Caenorhabditis elegans: one gene and its partners. The protein of the gene in region 1 interacts with the protein of each later gene in a pairwise test. Each region holds a gene or a part of one and is shown in the gene's direction. Other genes may lie near its edges. The genes, in order: phat-1, F09F7.5 and oaz-1.

What was found.
Region 2: the proteins of phat-1 (region 1) and F09F7.5 interact in a two-hybrid assay, tested with the Caenorhabditis elegans proteins (one large-scale study listed by BioGRID).
Region 3: the proteins of phat-1 (region 1) and oaz-1 interact in a two-hybrid assay, tested with the Caenorhabditis elegans proteins (one large-scale study listed by BioGRID).

The regions. Positions count from the first base shown.
Region 1 is NC_003279.8:5,043,617-5,047,679, reverse strand, and holds phat-1 (ShKT domain-containing protein), read left to right. Parts: upstream 1-1,959; coding exon 1,960-2,035; intron 2,036-2,081; coding exon 2,082-2,156; intron 2,157-2,200; coding exon 2,201-2,614; intron 2,615-2,796; exon of another isoform or gene 2,797-2,940; intron 2,941-2,984; coding exon 2,985-3,164; intron 3,165-3,245; coding exon 3,246-3,385; 3' UTR 3,386-3,482; downstream 3,483-4,063. Other genes in the region: phat-2 (ShKT domain-containing protein), read left to right, coding at 126-206, 249-698, 1,066-1,202.
Region 2 is NC_003281.10:5,545,163-5,551,858, forward strand, and holds F09F7.5 (CRIB domain-containing protein), read left to right. Parts: upstream 1-1,947; 5' UTR 1,948-1,969; coding exon 1,970-2,055; intron 2,056-3,010; coding exon 3,011-3,097; intron 3,098-3,151; coding exon 3,152-3,215; intron 3,216-3,263; coding exon 3,264-3,433; intron 3,434-3,585; coding exon 3,586-3,669; intron 3,670-3,716; coding exon 3,717-4,722; intron 4,723-5,138; coding exon 5,139-5,288; intron 5,289-5,846; coding exon 5,847-5,951; 3' UTR 5,952-6,053; downstream 6,054-6,696. Other genes in the region: putative kinase-like protein D1044.1, read left to right, coding at 296-490, 564-676, 818-1,064; F09F7.6 (Ferritin), read right to left, coding at 6,160-6,270.
Region 3 is NC_003279.8:6,091,587-6,095,054, forward strand, and holds oaz-1 (Ornithine decarboxylase antizyme), read left to right. Parts: upstream 1-1,720; 5' UTR 1,721-1,759; coding exon 1,760-1,830; intron 1,831-1,881; coding exon 1,882-1,939; coding exon of another isoform or gene 1,940-2,130; intron 2,131-2,244; coding exon of another isoform or gene 2,245-2,405; 3' UTR 2,406-2,851; downstream 2,852-3,468. UniProt on the Caenorhabditis elegans protein: Ornithine decarboxylase (ODC) antizyme protein that negatively regulates ODC activity and intracellular polyamine biosynthesis and uptake in response to increased intracellular polyamine levels.

The DNA.
Region 1 (4,063 bases):
TTTTAGATTTTTAGATTTTTGAAACTTTTGACCAATCAATGACGTTGACCACGCCTTAATGTCATTGGTCGAGTAACACTTTTTTCGCGCTCAAATTCGATTCTTTAATCCAAACATTTTTTCAGCATGCGATGTTGGTTTGCCTTGTGAAACTGGATCTACTTGTGATCTTACTCTTTTAAGTTGCTGTCTCAATGCGGATCTCAGTAAGTCTCTGGAATCAGTAAATTTTAAATTTCCCTTTTCAGTCACCACTGTGGTTCCATCTAACGTTGTCACCGACGCTTCGGGATCCACTGTGACTGTTGCCACGACTATCCGTAGTGGATCCACTGTCACTTCCCGCACTTCATCTGGAACAGGATGCGTTGATCGTGTCAATTCAGCTACAGGAACTTCTGATTGTGCTAATAGAAGAGCTCTCTGCAACGATGCCAACTACTTTGACGTCATGACTCAACAATGTCCAAAGACTTGCGGAAGATGCTCATCATTCTCTAGCACACCTACAACTGGTACATGCACTGACTTGAAGAACCCAAAGACGGGAACTTCGGACTGCGCAAGCCTGCGTTCTTTCTGTAATGATTCCAACTACATTGATCTGATGAGAACTCAATGCCCAAGAACTTGTGGATTCTGTGGAAGTTCCGGTTCATCTTCTACCACTAGATCCAGCGCAACTGTTTCTTCCGGAAGTAAGTGGGAAAAATTATAAAAGTGTTAAAACTGATTTTAACGGTTGGAGCTTGATTTAGTATTAAATTTAAGCAAAATTTAGTTGTACAAATATTTTCATATTAATTGCAACATGGCCAAATATCACAAATAAAAAGTCCGAGTTTTTAATGACTCAAAACTACCAGCCAACCTTTCCCCAACTTTAGACGAAACTAACTACTTGTTTATTTAAAAAAAGAGAAAACAACTGTCCAAAAAAATCTGAAACATCCGATTCTAAGGTAAAACAATCTACTGTATTATCTAAAAAATGTACGGCCATAGATTTTCAACAATAACACAAGCATTCGTTACTTTCTAAAACCAATCTTGAAAATCTTCCAGCATGTGTCGACAGAGTCAACCCAGCCACCGGAAGATCTGATTGTGCATCCAACATTGGTCTTTGCAACAACTCAGCCTACCAATCCGTCATGCGTGCTCAATGTCCAAGAACCTGCGGATTCTGTACATCCGGATAATTTGTTTCGCCATCACGATTAGTAATAATTGTGTAATAATGTGTCCAATTCATTTTAATTTATAATAAAACGCTGCGAGTCGGGAAGAAATGTGTTCAAATAGTATCCGAAACGCCGGTTGGTTGTACCAATATAAAAACAATGCGCGCATTGTTCTGCGAAAATTTTGTTATTTTTGAAACAGAGCTGAAATGTTTGAACAGCCTTTAGCTCGTGGATAGCCACTGTAAAATATGGAATATTGCGATAAAAACAGATAGACAAGAAATAAAACTTTAAAAAACTTTTACTTGAAAAACTTACAAAGAAACGTTACTTACAGACTCTTTTTGAAAATCCAATTTTTCTACTAGATTATCTCAAAAAGTTAAGCTCAACTCCTACAATCTAAAGTTGTATTCTGGGGTTTTTGCAAGCTTGTAAAACTGTCATAATAGCCGTTATTTGCATAATTATTTTGACGGCATTTTCAGCAAAAAATCGATCACTGCAGACCCGAGATACACATTCTACGTCAAAATATATGTAATTTAAATTTAATAATTTCAGCACTCTTTTGTTGAAACATTTGCCACAAGCGATACTTTTTAGCTATTTCGTCATAAACTTCCATCACGAACGGTATCTAAACTTCTTGATCACATTATTTCAATTTCAAAGACTTATAGCACAATGGTCAACGTTAATTGTTTGAACAGATGGACAGTATCTCACAATATAAAAGCAACTGCTGCAGAACTATAACCATCATTCTATCATGTTCCGTCAATTCATTATTTCATTTGCCATATTCTCGGTTGCATTTGCTTGTGAAGCTTCTGAATCTGAAGGACGTAAGTAACAACTGTAATCGCATTTAGAATAAATACTTTATTTCAGCGTGTGACGGTGGCATTCTTGTGTGCCAGACACAGGTCTGTGACGTGGCAGCTGGTCAATGCTGTCCTATTACCAGTAAGTGAAACAGATTCTTTCAACAGCGACCTTTGAAATTCTAGCTGCTGCCGCTGTTACTTCAACCACTGCTGCTGTTGTGACCGATTCCGATGGATCTACAGTAACCACAACTGCATCATCAGTTACAGTAACTTCTACCTCCACGACAACGTGTGCTGATCGTGTCAATCCATCTACCGGAGTCTCTGATTGTTCAGCTCTTGCCTACCTTTGCAACGACTCGACCTACTACACAGTCATGACCCAGCAGTGCCCAAGAACATGCGGTCGCTGTAATTCTACTTCAACAAGCTCTACTAGCTGTGTTGATCGTGTTAATCCATCCACCGGAGTTTCCGATTGTCCAGCTCGTGCTGCTTTGTGCAACGACTCCAACTACTACACACTCATGACCACTCAATGCCCAAGAACTTGCGGAAGATGCTCCACTTCTTCTTCGACTACTTCATCGTCCAGTAAGTTCGCTGAAAACTGGAACGTGATTCTTTAATTAGAGTTAGATTTCTTGAAACAGAGGACAACAATTTAAATTTCCAGGCACCACATGTGCCGATCGTTCTAACCCATCCACCGGGAGATCTGATTGTCCGGCTCGTGCCGCACTTTGTAATAACGCAGCTTATTACAATCTTATGACAGTCCAGTGTCCGGTAACTTGTGGAAGATGCTCCACAAATAGTACTTCTAGCTATTCCAGTAGGTGGCAGTTGCCTCTTGCTTCGCTGATCAGCTGTAGCTTTTTTTACCTGCTTCTGTCTAATATGCTTGCTTTGTTTGCCTTAGCTTTTCTTATATTTTCGTTTGCACTAACTGAGGAAATTTCAGCCACCTGTGCTGATCGTGTCAATCCAACAACTGGAGTTTCCGATTGCCCAGCTCGTGCTTCTCTTTGCAACAACTCAGTCTACTATGACATCATGACCACCCAATGCCCAAGAACTTGTGGAAGATGCACATCAAGCTCAACTATCTCTGCCACGTCATCAGCTTCTACTACTGTTTCATGTAAGTTTTATTTCTGAAGAATTATAGCTGATTGATTCTACTGTTTGTGATACGACAACTAAGATACTTAAACCTCTTCAGCCACTTGTGTCGACCAAGTCAACGCCGCTACAGGAACTTCCGATTGTCCAAATCGTCGTGCTTTTTGTACCAACTCCGCTTACATTTCCCTTATGCGTACCCAATGTCCACTTACCTGCGGATTCTGTACTGCTGGATAATTTTTGTGTTTGTGGAAATAATTTATCTCTAATTTATGCACCGTCTGGTTTTTGTGATTTATGATTCTAAAGTAAATAAAATAATTTAAATAATTTAGATTTTGAGAAAGTTCGATTTCAAAACAAAACATCTCAATGTTTTAAATGTAATAAAATATTTATTTTTTCATTTTCAAACATTCTGAAAACATATCCAATTTTTATTTTGTTTCATTGAATTAATAATTAAAACTTTTTTGGACAACTTTAAATGAATCTGGCGTCAATAATTTTTCGTTGAGTTTCACCTTATAATGATTGTTTTTTTATACAAAAGTCTGACTTACATACTAGAACTTTAAAAAAAATTAAATTTATAATTTAAAAATTTAAAAACTTATTAAAAATGAAATGAAGCACCCATTGGAGTACCTATACGTCTATTTTGCTCCCACAAATTAATTACTTTATCAGCGCCTGTAAAAATTATTGATGTTCGGAAAATACAGGAAATTAAAAAAAAAACTATGAAAACGAAAAGCGTTCTAATTAAAAAGAAACTCTGATGATGTTTTGAAAAAAATTATCGCTGACTGACTCAATCCTGTGTTACACTCACTTAAGTTAGTCTGTATTGTACTTTTACATTATCGCAAAAAATAATTTGCCTTTGCCGTGCTCTCAAAAGTTTTTCAAAAG
Region 2 (6,696 bases), on another chromosome or scaffold:
ACGAGATATTCAAATAGGCCTGAAAATGTGCCTGTCTGCCAGTGAAGCCCTAGGTATAGTAAGAAATAAAAAAAAAAGAGTATATTGCAATCGATTGCAATCTGGGCACATCTTTTCAAATTTCGAATTTAAAATTGGGCACATCTCTTTGATGGCCGCGAAAATTGGTGGCCGAATATTTTTGGAACTTATTGGAAATTGACTTTTCACAACAACCCGTAAATATGGTGTATGGTGTTTTGCTTACCTGAAAACCAGAGCGGCTCTTTCTCACGCTTCAGAATCAAAATTCCAGCACAACGACACCCTTGATTTTGAAAAGTTATGCCCGGCGGAGCTCTCCGGAAGAATTCAAGAAGTTAAGCATGCTTTTGATGAAGATGGAGTTAGAAATTCCGAAAAGAAAAACGAAAAACTTGGAATGCCATTGGTGATATGTCATAATGATTTGAACGCGTCAAATGTTCTATGGAATAATGAAACTGGAAAGGTAGAGTTGTCCAAGAGGACTACGTGTCATAGAATATAAAATTACTCCTAATAATAAAATTGAATAATTTCAGATCCAGGCATTTATCGATTTCCAGCACGTGTCAAAGGGTCCCGTCTCCTTTGATATTATTCGTATTTTGTGCCTTGGATTGTCAGTGGAAAATCGAAGAGCAAATACTCAAAGGTATCTTTTTCTAAGTCTAAACATTTTCAATAACCGAAAGAAGTAAAAATTGAAATGGCCCGCTTTTTGGCCGAGATTTGAAAATCGGGTTCGGAGATATAAAACACATTTCAAAACAAAGAGTCAGTTTCCATTTTCCAGATACCTGAACCACTACTATACGACCTTCAAATCTCATTTTTCCACGGCTCCCTTCACTTTCTCCCAACTCGAAGAATCCTATCGAACTCACTTCAATTTTGTGAATGCCACGTCACTATTCAGTCTGTCGTATTACTACAAAATGTATAAGGATGAGAGTTTGGATTTGAAAAGTGGAGCTGACGAAAGGGAACACAAAGCTCAGGAGATTTTGAGACGGACTATCGGAATTTTGGATGATATGTAATAGAAGAATATTTTTTAAAGATTTTTATATTATACATTAAAACAAATAAACTACTACTAATATTTGGAATTTTTTAAATTTTGATGATGAACAAAGTTGCTTAAAACATTATTTCAAATATGACAACACATTTTAAATTCTTTACGAAACAAAAATAATCCTAGTAAATCTTCGGTAATACATTAAAAACATCAAAGGTTTCGTAAATCAATGTTAAACAAATTGCGAAATATCGTCCGACTTGCAGTCAAACACTAGAGTATACATATACATAATACCCTTCCGTAACCCGGTTTTTAGCCTCAAGAGATTACTCATCAGATCGACACATGTTTTCTTTTTTCACTTCAACATGCTGCGTCTCTTGTCAATTTGATCTGAGTAATCTATGGGAGATCAGCAAGAACAATTTGCTATTTGCTAGAAATTGATAACACTTTTTGAAATATTTGAAAGGTAGTTTCTATGCTAGATTTTTCTATGTTAATCTGAATTTTAACATTTTTCAATTGATTTTATGCAGTACCTGAAAGTGGTCAAAATTTTGGAGCCATCGAACGACGCTTCAATATTCCGCCATGCTACAAAACTCAAGATTCCTTACAAGCGTCTTTGGGCGGAGCTTGAGCACGGGTGTCATTGGAGCTTCAAACTTCTTGGCTTCCAATTCCAAATGAATCATTCTTTCAACACATCACCTCCTTCTCAATAATTCCTTATCACTACTCTTTTTCCAACTGCTTACACGTTTTTATCGGTTATTTCTCTATTCCCCTTTCTCTCTCAGTTACTCCGGGTGTCTGTTCTCCACAGTTTTTGCAACAACTTGCGTGGTTTGACCATTGATTTTTTTTGCCTCTTGTTACTTTATTCTTGATTTAAGACAGGAACCGGGTTTATGGAAAATGCCCAACGACTTGCCGTTGCTGCCTCCGAAGAATCAGCACAAACACTTGGATAAAACTATGATCTCACTGCCGTCGGATTTCAGGTAAGGAATAAAAGTTGAGGATGTTATGTTAATCCGTACATTCGAATTGGAATGTATCTGCAAATTCGTTCTTGAAGAACATTAGTAGGTTAGCTTCAAGCGGGATTATGACATGTCGACGTTTTAGGCCCGAGAAAGAAGCGGAGTTCTTGCACTCTCCCCTCCCCCACACTCTCTAACCAACCCATTTTTACAGTGTAATAACTTTCATCAAGATTTAGCCAATAGCTGATTGATTGTGCTGATTGTGCTTTTTTTAATTGATATAACATTTAGAAATGAGGAACATTTAGAAACATGAACAGTTTATTCAAAAATATTAGGCTTACAACACTCTACACTTATCTCATTACAACATTCTTTTATTATCATATTGACATCCATAGACTGAAATTCCAAGTTTTAGAAATCAGAAACCTTGGAAACAAAACTTACCATTTTGCTAGGTAATTTAGCTGACACAGCTGGAACCGCCAACAATTCAGTCATGAAAATAATCAGTGATAGAAACAATAATGCAAAACTAGCATACATGTCAACTATGAATATTAAGTTTAAAATTGTTATGTAGTACCTAATCACACGTGGACTAGCAACAATTGATAAAACATTGTTATATATTATAGGTACCAAGCGTTAAATCTTACACTATGGGCTATTGTCGTAAAAAATAAAATAAAATAATACAAATCACGTTACCTGAAATTTTTTAAATTCTCAATTTTTTCGCAATTCGCCATTTTAATTGTTTAAAAAGATATGAGAGGAGGAGAGTTAAGACACTCAGCTTCTCTGTACTCTCCCGTGCCTCCATACGTCTAAAACTTACAATTTTCATACGAATTAGTTTCTTACAATTAGTAGATTCGGAGACGAATTAGTTACATTCGTATTAGTTTTACTCATTGTGTTTTAGGTTTTAAACAATCTATCATAGTCAATTTTTATATTACAGGCATTTGGCTCATGTCGGTCCAATGGGATCATCGGAAATTGAAAATCTTCGGACGAGCGATAATGTGATTGATACGGTTAATGAAAGGTTTGTGATCTACAAGCATTACTTGAATTCAATGTGGATGAATAAAGAATTCAGCAGCTACTACATAAGACCCTCCTCGTCGAATAGTACACTCCGATCGCAGAGAAAAGAAAAAGATGTAGGGAACTATTTAATTACTTTTCTCCAAAAAAGTTCAACTTTTCAGAGAGTTGGACTAGATGATGCTTTCCCATCAGCTTCAAAAAGTGAAGAAGAGGTTGAAGTTGTCAGAGGTTACGAGAATCAACCAACATCCCACCAATACATAAATATTGCTCCACCACGTCCGAGCAAGAAAAATTATAAGGCTCCAGCTCCCCCTACTCCTCCTCCACAGTGAGTATTTGTATGACATTTTCTAACAACACAGTTTTTGAATTAGTTTTTTACCTCAATTCCAAGAAGTACTTCCTTTAGAATTAAGTTTCTTACTGGCGCTTTCAAATTTGACAACTGAATCAAAAGTTGGTTGAGAATTAAACTTTCAGGAACAGCAAGCCGAATTTGATCTTCAACGCCCAAGACGACGAGGAGGAAACATCAGAAATCTCAGAGCAACCTGTAGTTTTTCGGTATTTCTTGATTGGACCCTGAAGTTTAAAAATTTTTCAATTTTCAGGTCAATCTCCCACACTTCGAATATCTCAACACACATAGCTCCACCTCCAAAAATCCAAACCGCCGACCGAATCGTTGCACCGAAGCCTAACTCTCTGGTGATCGAAAGACCGGGTGATCTTGGTGGTGCTTTTAGTTTCGGTCTCGATGATTGCATTCCAATTGTTAAAAGTACACCACCTCTCAATACACTTTCTCCGTTGCATCGGCCTTTGGCAATCCCGAAGAATCAGGAGGAGACACCGATATTGAGTCCGGCGAGTCCGCCGGATGACTCGAATTATATGTCAACTATTCGGAGCACATCCGTTCAAGGGAGAAAGATCTTGGATGAGCTTGACGATTGGTTGGATGACCTGGATGATCTCGATAGGGATCAATTATCCACAATCAGTACTGACGAATCGGGTTATCCGACGCTTGCACTAGAAAAAGATCGGGCTTTTATGAAGCATTTGGTGGAGAAGTATGAGTTGGGGGTAGCTCCAGAGACAATTAGACTTCGGAAGAAAAAAGGACCGGCTCCAAAAGCTCCAAGCCTCCCTCCAGACCTCTCCTCTCCAACATTCCAAGCTCCAGGATTTATTCCTGCGTTCTCCGCTCGGCCTGTGAGTATGCCTCCCAACCGACCACCTCCCTCATATGAAGCTCCAAGCTTTGATGCTCCCGAAGCTCCTGGTACAGTATTAATCAATGGAAGAGCCTTGACAAAGCAAAATGCGCTAGACCTCCGCTCAAGTGACGAAAGTGGAGTACCTCCTGCAATTGCCAGGTTCTTATATGATAAGAGGATCAAGTCAGCAACAATGCCAATGTCCATCGGAAGAATGACGTCTTCATCTGGGAACACGGATGTTTCCACTACCTCGTCAAGATCAAATGCAGATACTGTGTCAAGTATTCTGTCGACGGTTGGGGAGGATGATGATGTGGAAGTTCTGAAAAGGGATCGGGAAGTTGAAGAAGAGTTTGTACCGCCCGTGCCAAAGCCGAGGAGCAGAAAGACGGTAAGCTTTCTTGTGTGATCCACAAGATCAGTTATGTAGGTGCAACATTAAGAGAGGAATTACGGAATTAAAGTATTACTTTCAACTTTTGAATCATATTTCTGACCATTTGATGAGTCACCATAAAATAGATATTTGTGAATCTGAATGAGAGGGGGGGGGGGCAAAAGTTTCAAGAACGGGTGCTCCTGAACCTAAACGATATTTGCTCCAATTACTTGGATCTAGTCGTACTCACGATTTTCACAGTTATTCTCACATTTTCGAAAGCAAATCAGTTCCGCTACCCTTTGACCTGATTCTATAATTTATTCTCTCCCCTCTAGAACAAATATAAATCTATTTAAATGAAACCGATACAAACATCAAAAAGTCAACAATCACCAATGTTCTTCTTCATTTGTTTTTCTTCGCAGGTCTCAACGGAACCGTTAAAAGAAGAAGAAGAAGAAAATGTCGAAGAGGAGATAAAGGGCGAAAACGTGATTGGGGAGGAGTTTCAAGTGGTGGGAGATACAAAAATAAATGATGAACAAGAAGATCGGGTGGAAGCGACAAAAGACAAGGTAACTAGTAGTGATAAAAGATCAATCGCCAAGATAAGCTTATTGGAATTTGAAATAGTTTGCTAATTACCCCTAGTTTCCAATTTTTCCGAGAAAGTACTTTTGTTGATTGGAACTGCCATTCATAGGATCACAAGGTGATCGAAAACAAAAAGAAGCAGCTGACTACTTGCGAATTTCCAGTAGAAATAGATTTAGAGAAGCAAGAAATTCGAGAAATTCTTTAGACAAAATTTTTCTTTGGAATGGTGGGTCATGGGTCCGCACGTACCCAAGTTTCTCTCTGAGACTGAGCAAAATGTATAAGTGGGCTCTCAATACAATTTTCTGTCATAGGTACGTGCAGACATTTTTAAGCAAACGATCGATCAAACCAAGTAATGAGCAAAAATAGTGCTAATAGGTTAAGATTTCCTACGAGGCAGGTTGCATACCCTAGCAGATATTTCTAAATAGATTTTGTACCAAATATCATTAACTGGGGAGCCTTCAGTAGTTGTCCTATTTCCTGGCACTTGTTAATTTTCAAAAAATTATTCAAATTCCCACTATTTTCAGATTAATGACGCTTTCATCATGCTTCCACCACCTTCAGCAGCCGCAATGATCCCATCAGATTCAGAATCCGAAGACGACGATAATTTCATTATTACTCGATTTTAAATTATTTGTTTTACTTAAATTCTTAACTAAACTCTAGTCAATTGTCTCTCTACATTCCAGTGCCAAACCACCATTCCATTAAAAATAAATTTCTCAAATAAAACCGATTCGATTTGCGAAAAAAGCAATATATTTTATTTTCATTTCTTCACAGCACAAAAAATAACAATTTGGAAGGTATGTACAGAATCCGTTTCGATCAAACGCGTCAATGGGAGGTTTCAAGCAACTTTTTCAGATGCTCCTCGGCGGCTTCCAGATCATCACGGAGATAACGGAGTTTTGCAGGGGTCACAAATTCCTCGTTGTATACGTTTTTCTGGAAAAGTAAAAGGGTTTAAAGGGTGGAATGGGATAATCTTTTGTGGCCTACACTATCTTTTTTAAGTTGTTAACTGATCTACAATCTCGAAAATTCCCCGTAAAACTGCAATTTTTGAGTAATATGTTCAGTTACAGCCTTTTGGAAACTCAAAATCCTAGTGCTTTGTCATTTGAATTTTGCATTTTGTCCAGCGTACAGAATAGTTTTTGCTAAGTAGTCGAGAAATTTTATAATTTGACGTTTCAGAGAAATTGAAAACTATTTTTTTCCGAAAACGGGCTTAACTATTGCAATTTTTTAAATTTGAGGTTGTGGAATAAAGTACTGTTTCCATCGCAACATAATTTGCGCGTAAAACATGGTGCATCGGGTCCGTGAATTGAAAAAGGAAAATTTTGTTTTTTCAAAAAATGTCGATGC
Region 3 (3,468 bases), 1.0 Mb from region 1:
CCCTTGGAATTCGCCCTCCGAACAGCTGTGAAAACCAAAAACACGAACTTGACGCTGTTGAGATGTTTTTCGTCGTCTCGGTCACACAATCTGCGTCTCTGGCCTCAACCGCCGCCGCCTTCCGTCAATCAATGAAAAGCAAAGATAGATTGTATAAAGTTGAGAGATTCAGAGAAATTGCTGCTTCTCTGTTCTCTCCGTCAGCGCTTAAAAGCAGTGAAACGTGCCAATAGTTCTCCTTGATAACGACTCCCTTTTCTGGTTTTCTCTGTATCATTAGTACTTGAAAAGAAAGGAACTACGTACTCAATCTTTGATAATTGGTTGGTATACTGTCGTAATTTGTTGAATGATTTCGTAATAATTTAATTTTTATTTCTGGTTTCTGGTTTCTCTTAAAACTTACTCAAATCATTAATATTCCTATGCTCACATAAACTTAAAAGTTTTTCTTATCTGATCACAATCTAAATTAGGTCTGCAAATCATCTATCGAAAATCAATAATTATTTCGCAATAAAATAGGCGAAGAGCAAGTCTTATGACACTGTTATCTTTCCGGGAACATTCTCGGTCCACAATAGATAAGGCATCCAAATCATTCGATTCACTGTTTACACGTCGATCGATCTTGTTCTCCTTCTTCTCTATCTTCACTGTTTCACCTTCATTTTGCCTCAATAAGCTGTAGTGAAGTCATATGATTTTCTATTCTTTGTTGTCGAAATCGATTTTAATATAGAGTAGTTTCTAGTTTTACATTACTAAATCCACTCATTGATTCTATTGATCTCTCCTTTTTTAGGCGCAAATGTTTTGATTAATAATTACTTTCGATATCACAAGGCGCTGTTTGTCTGGTAATATTATGTTAGCTCCAGTTCTGATTAAAAATTTCCGTTAGAAAAAAGGTATTTTCGGAAAAGTATCCTAATGGCGTGAGTATACCAATTATTTGTATCATGGCAATTGAGCAGAACTGATAATCGAGTCCCACAGGGTTTACGATTTCTATTTGGATCTGATTTTGAAATGTGCAATAAGAAATAATCATCCCTACTTTCACTTTTGTAACGACCCATTTCGTCATTACCATATGACTTTCAAAGATCTGCGATGTGCACGTCACATATATTCATTCAAAATGGCGCCAGCAAGCCATTGAGCCAGAAAGAGCGTTTCTCTGTCGTCTCGCAATCTTTATGTCCCTCTGTTCCTCCGCCTCGCACTTCATTTATCGCCTGGTCACATGCTTCTTTGTGTTCACTCAATGTTCGTTCTGTATGTCTTGTGACAATTTACTTTAGAGGTTAATAACACAGAAATATAAGACAGTTCATTACTATGTCTGTTCTATAGATCTTCTTTGACATCAATACAACATTTTACGCTTTTAAGAATCAAAAGCCTCTAATTTCTATTTAAAAGCCACGAAGTAAATCAAATAATTGAACGAATCAAAAATCTCTTCTGACATGCTTTAATCTTTGGCATAAACTAATCGAATTATTCTAATTTATTTCTAGCATATTTGATTATAGGACACCGTAAATGTTGAGATTGGTTAAAATCAATTTTTAAACATCTGGGATACGAATCAGTTCTCTGGAATAATTTCTGATCACCACAACTATATTAATTTGTATTTCCGTTATGCTTCCTCGCCCTCGCCCACTCGTTCACTTTGCTTTTAAATCGATCTAATTCTTCTTAATTTCAGTTTCCCACCACCCGCTTCGTACCTATCAAGAGAGACAAGATGTCGAGTATTTTGAGTAGTAATTTTACGAATAAATCGAATCAATTGGTCAACGAGTCTGCCGTCGACAGGTGAGAATACAATGTGAAGGCAGTTTAAACAATAATATTTCGATTTTTCAGCTCGTTGACCGCCTCCCCATGCTCGACCCAGCCCGGCGACGTCGGATGGTGTTTTTGACGCCCCCCATGGCGTGCTCACCAAATTGCCGAACGAAACTCGCGCTATCGTATCGGCCGTTTCTCCAAACTGGCGCGTGACATCGATTGGCGAAAAGACATTGGCGATCATGATTCCACACGATCAACCGGTGCTCGGCATCTCTAAGAAGAACTTTGTGGACCTCTTGGAGTTCGCTGAAGACAAACTCGGTGAGTTCTATTTCAACCATTTCTAGATTTTCTACAAAGTTGTGTTTTTAAACGGAGAAATCCTGTTAAAAAGTTATATTCCCTGAGAAATGTTTGTAAACTTTTTTATTACAGAAATGGAGCGTGTTTTGGCTGTATTTGAGAAGGCTCGTATTAACCCAACGGAAGGATTCCCACGTACTCTTCGTTACGTCGGATTCCGTCCATATGCCATCGACGAGCATCCAGTTCATCTCCCAGCTGAAAAATACTTCATCATGAGCTACAAGGTCTAATGGATTCATCTCACCAATTTCTTTTCGTTTTATCGATTTCTCGCCGCTTTTAAAAATGTTATTTTTCTTTCTCTCACCTTTTTCTATACCAACCCCTCGAAAAAATGCACTTTAAAAACTTTCAAAAAATTTCCTCCTTCAAGAATTCTCTAGTATAATTCTCTAAATCTCTGTGTTCATGTAGTGTACAAATTCTTTAATTTTCCAGAAAAAATCCTTTTTGGCTATTTCTCTGATTATTTTTGCCCACCACACCCACTCCCATCCACAACCAGCTCATTCCTGTTTCTAAGAGATATTAGTGACCGATGCTTCCTGAGAAATTCTCTTTTTTTTAAAACATTCTTTAAATTAATCCCTCCTTTCCCACCACTTTTCTGTCCACGCGCCAGCTTTTTTGGAGAAACGAATAAATTGTCAAAAAAAAAACGATTTTGTAGAGAAATGTTCAAAATGCTCCGCCCATCATGAATTGGGTATCGTTAGGTCGATTACGCAAATGCGAAATTTTGAGACTATCTTACAAAAGTACGAAGCAAAAATACACTAGCGGGTCTCGACATGATCAATTTTCTTAAATTTGAAAGTGTGCGCCTTTAAGGAGTACTGTACGTGCAAGCTTAGGTTGCTCCGGAATTTTCATATTTTTTCCATAGTTTTGCTATACTATCAATTTATCAACAAAAAAAAACTATTTTTAGAAAAAGCTTGGAAGCATGAGAAAAACTATAATCAATGAAAATTAGGCAGAAACGAGAGTTTGATAATACAGTACTCTTTAAAGGCGCACACTCTTACATTTAATAACAAACAATTTTTGCGTCTGGGAATACCACTAGACCAGCATGGTAAAATAAAATATCGCAAAACAAAAAAAAGTTAGCGATTTTTTTGTGTTTTAGAAAAATCAGCCTGGTGAAACTCTCTGTTTGAGTTTCGAGACGAGAACTTCAAAAGGCCTCTTGGGTCCAACAATTTTAATTTTGAAGAATAGTTTTCCACTTCAAAAGATAGAATTAAGATTCTTTTCAGAGTTGGTGAACTTTCATTTCAAACAAAAAAC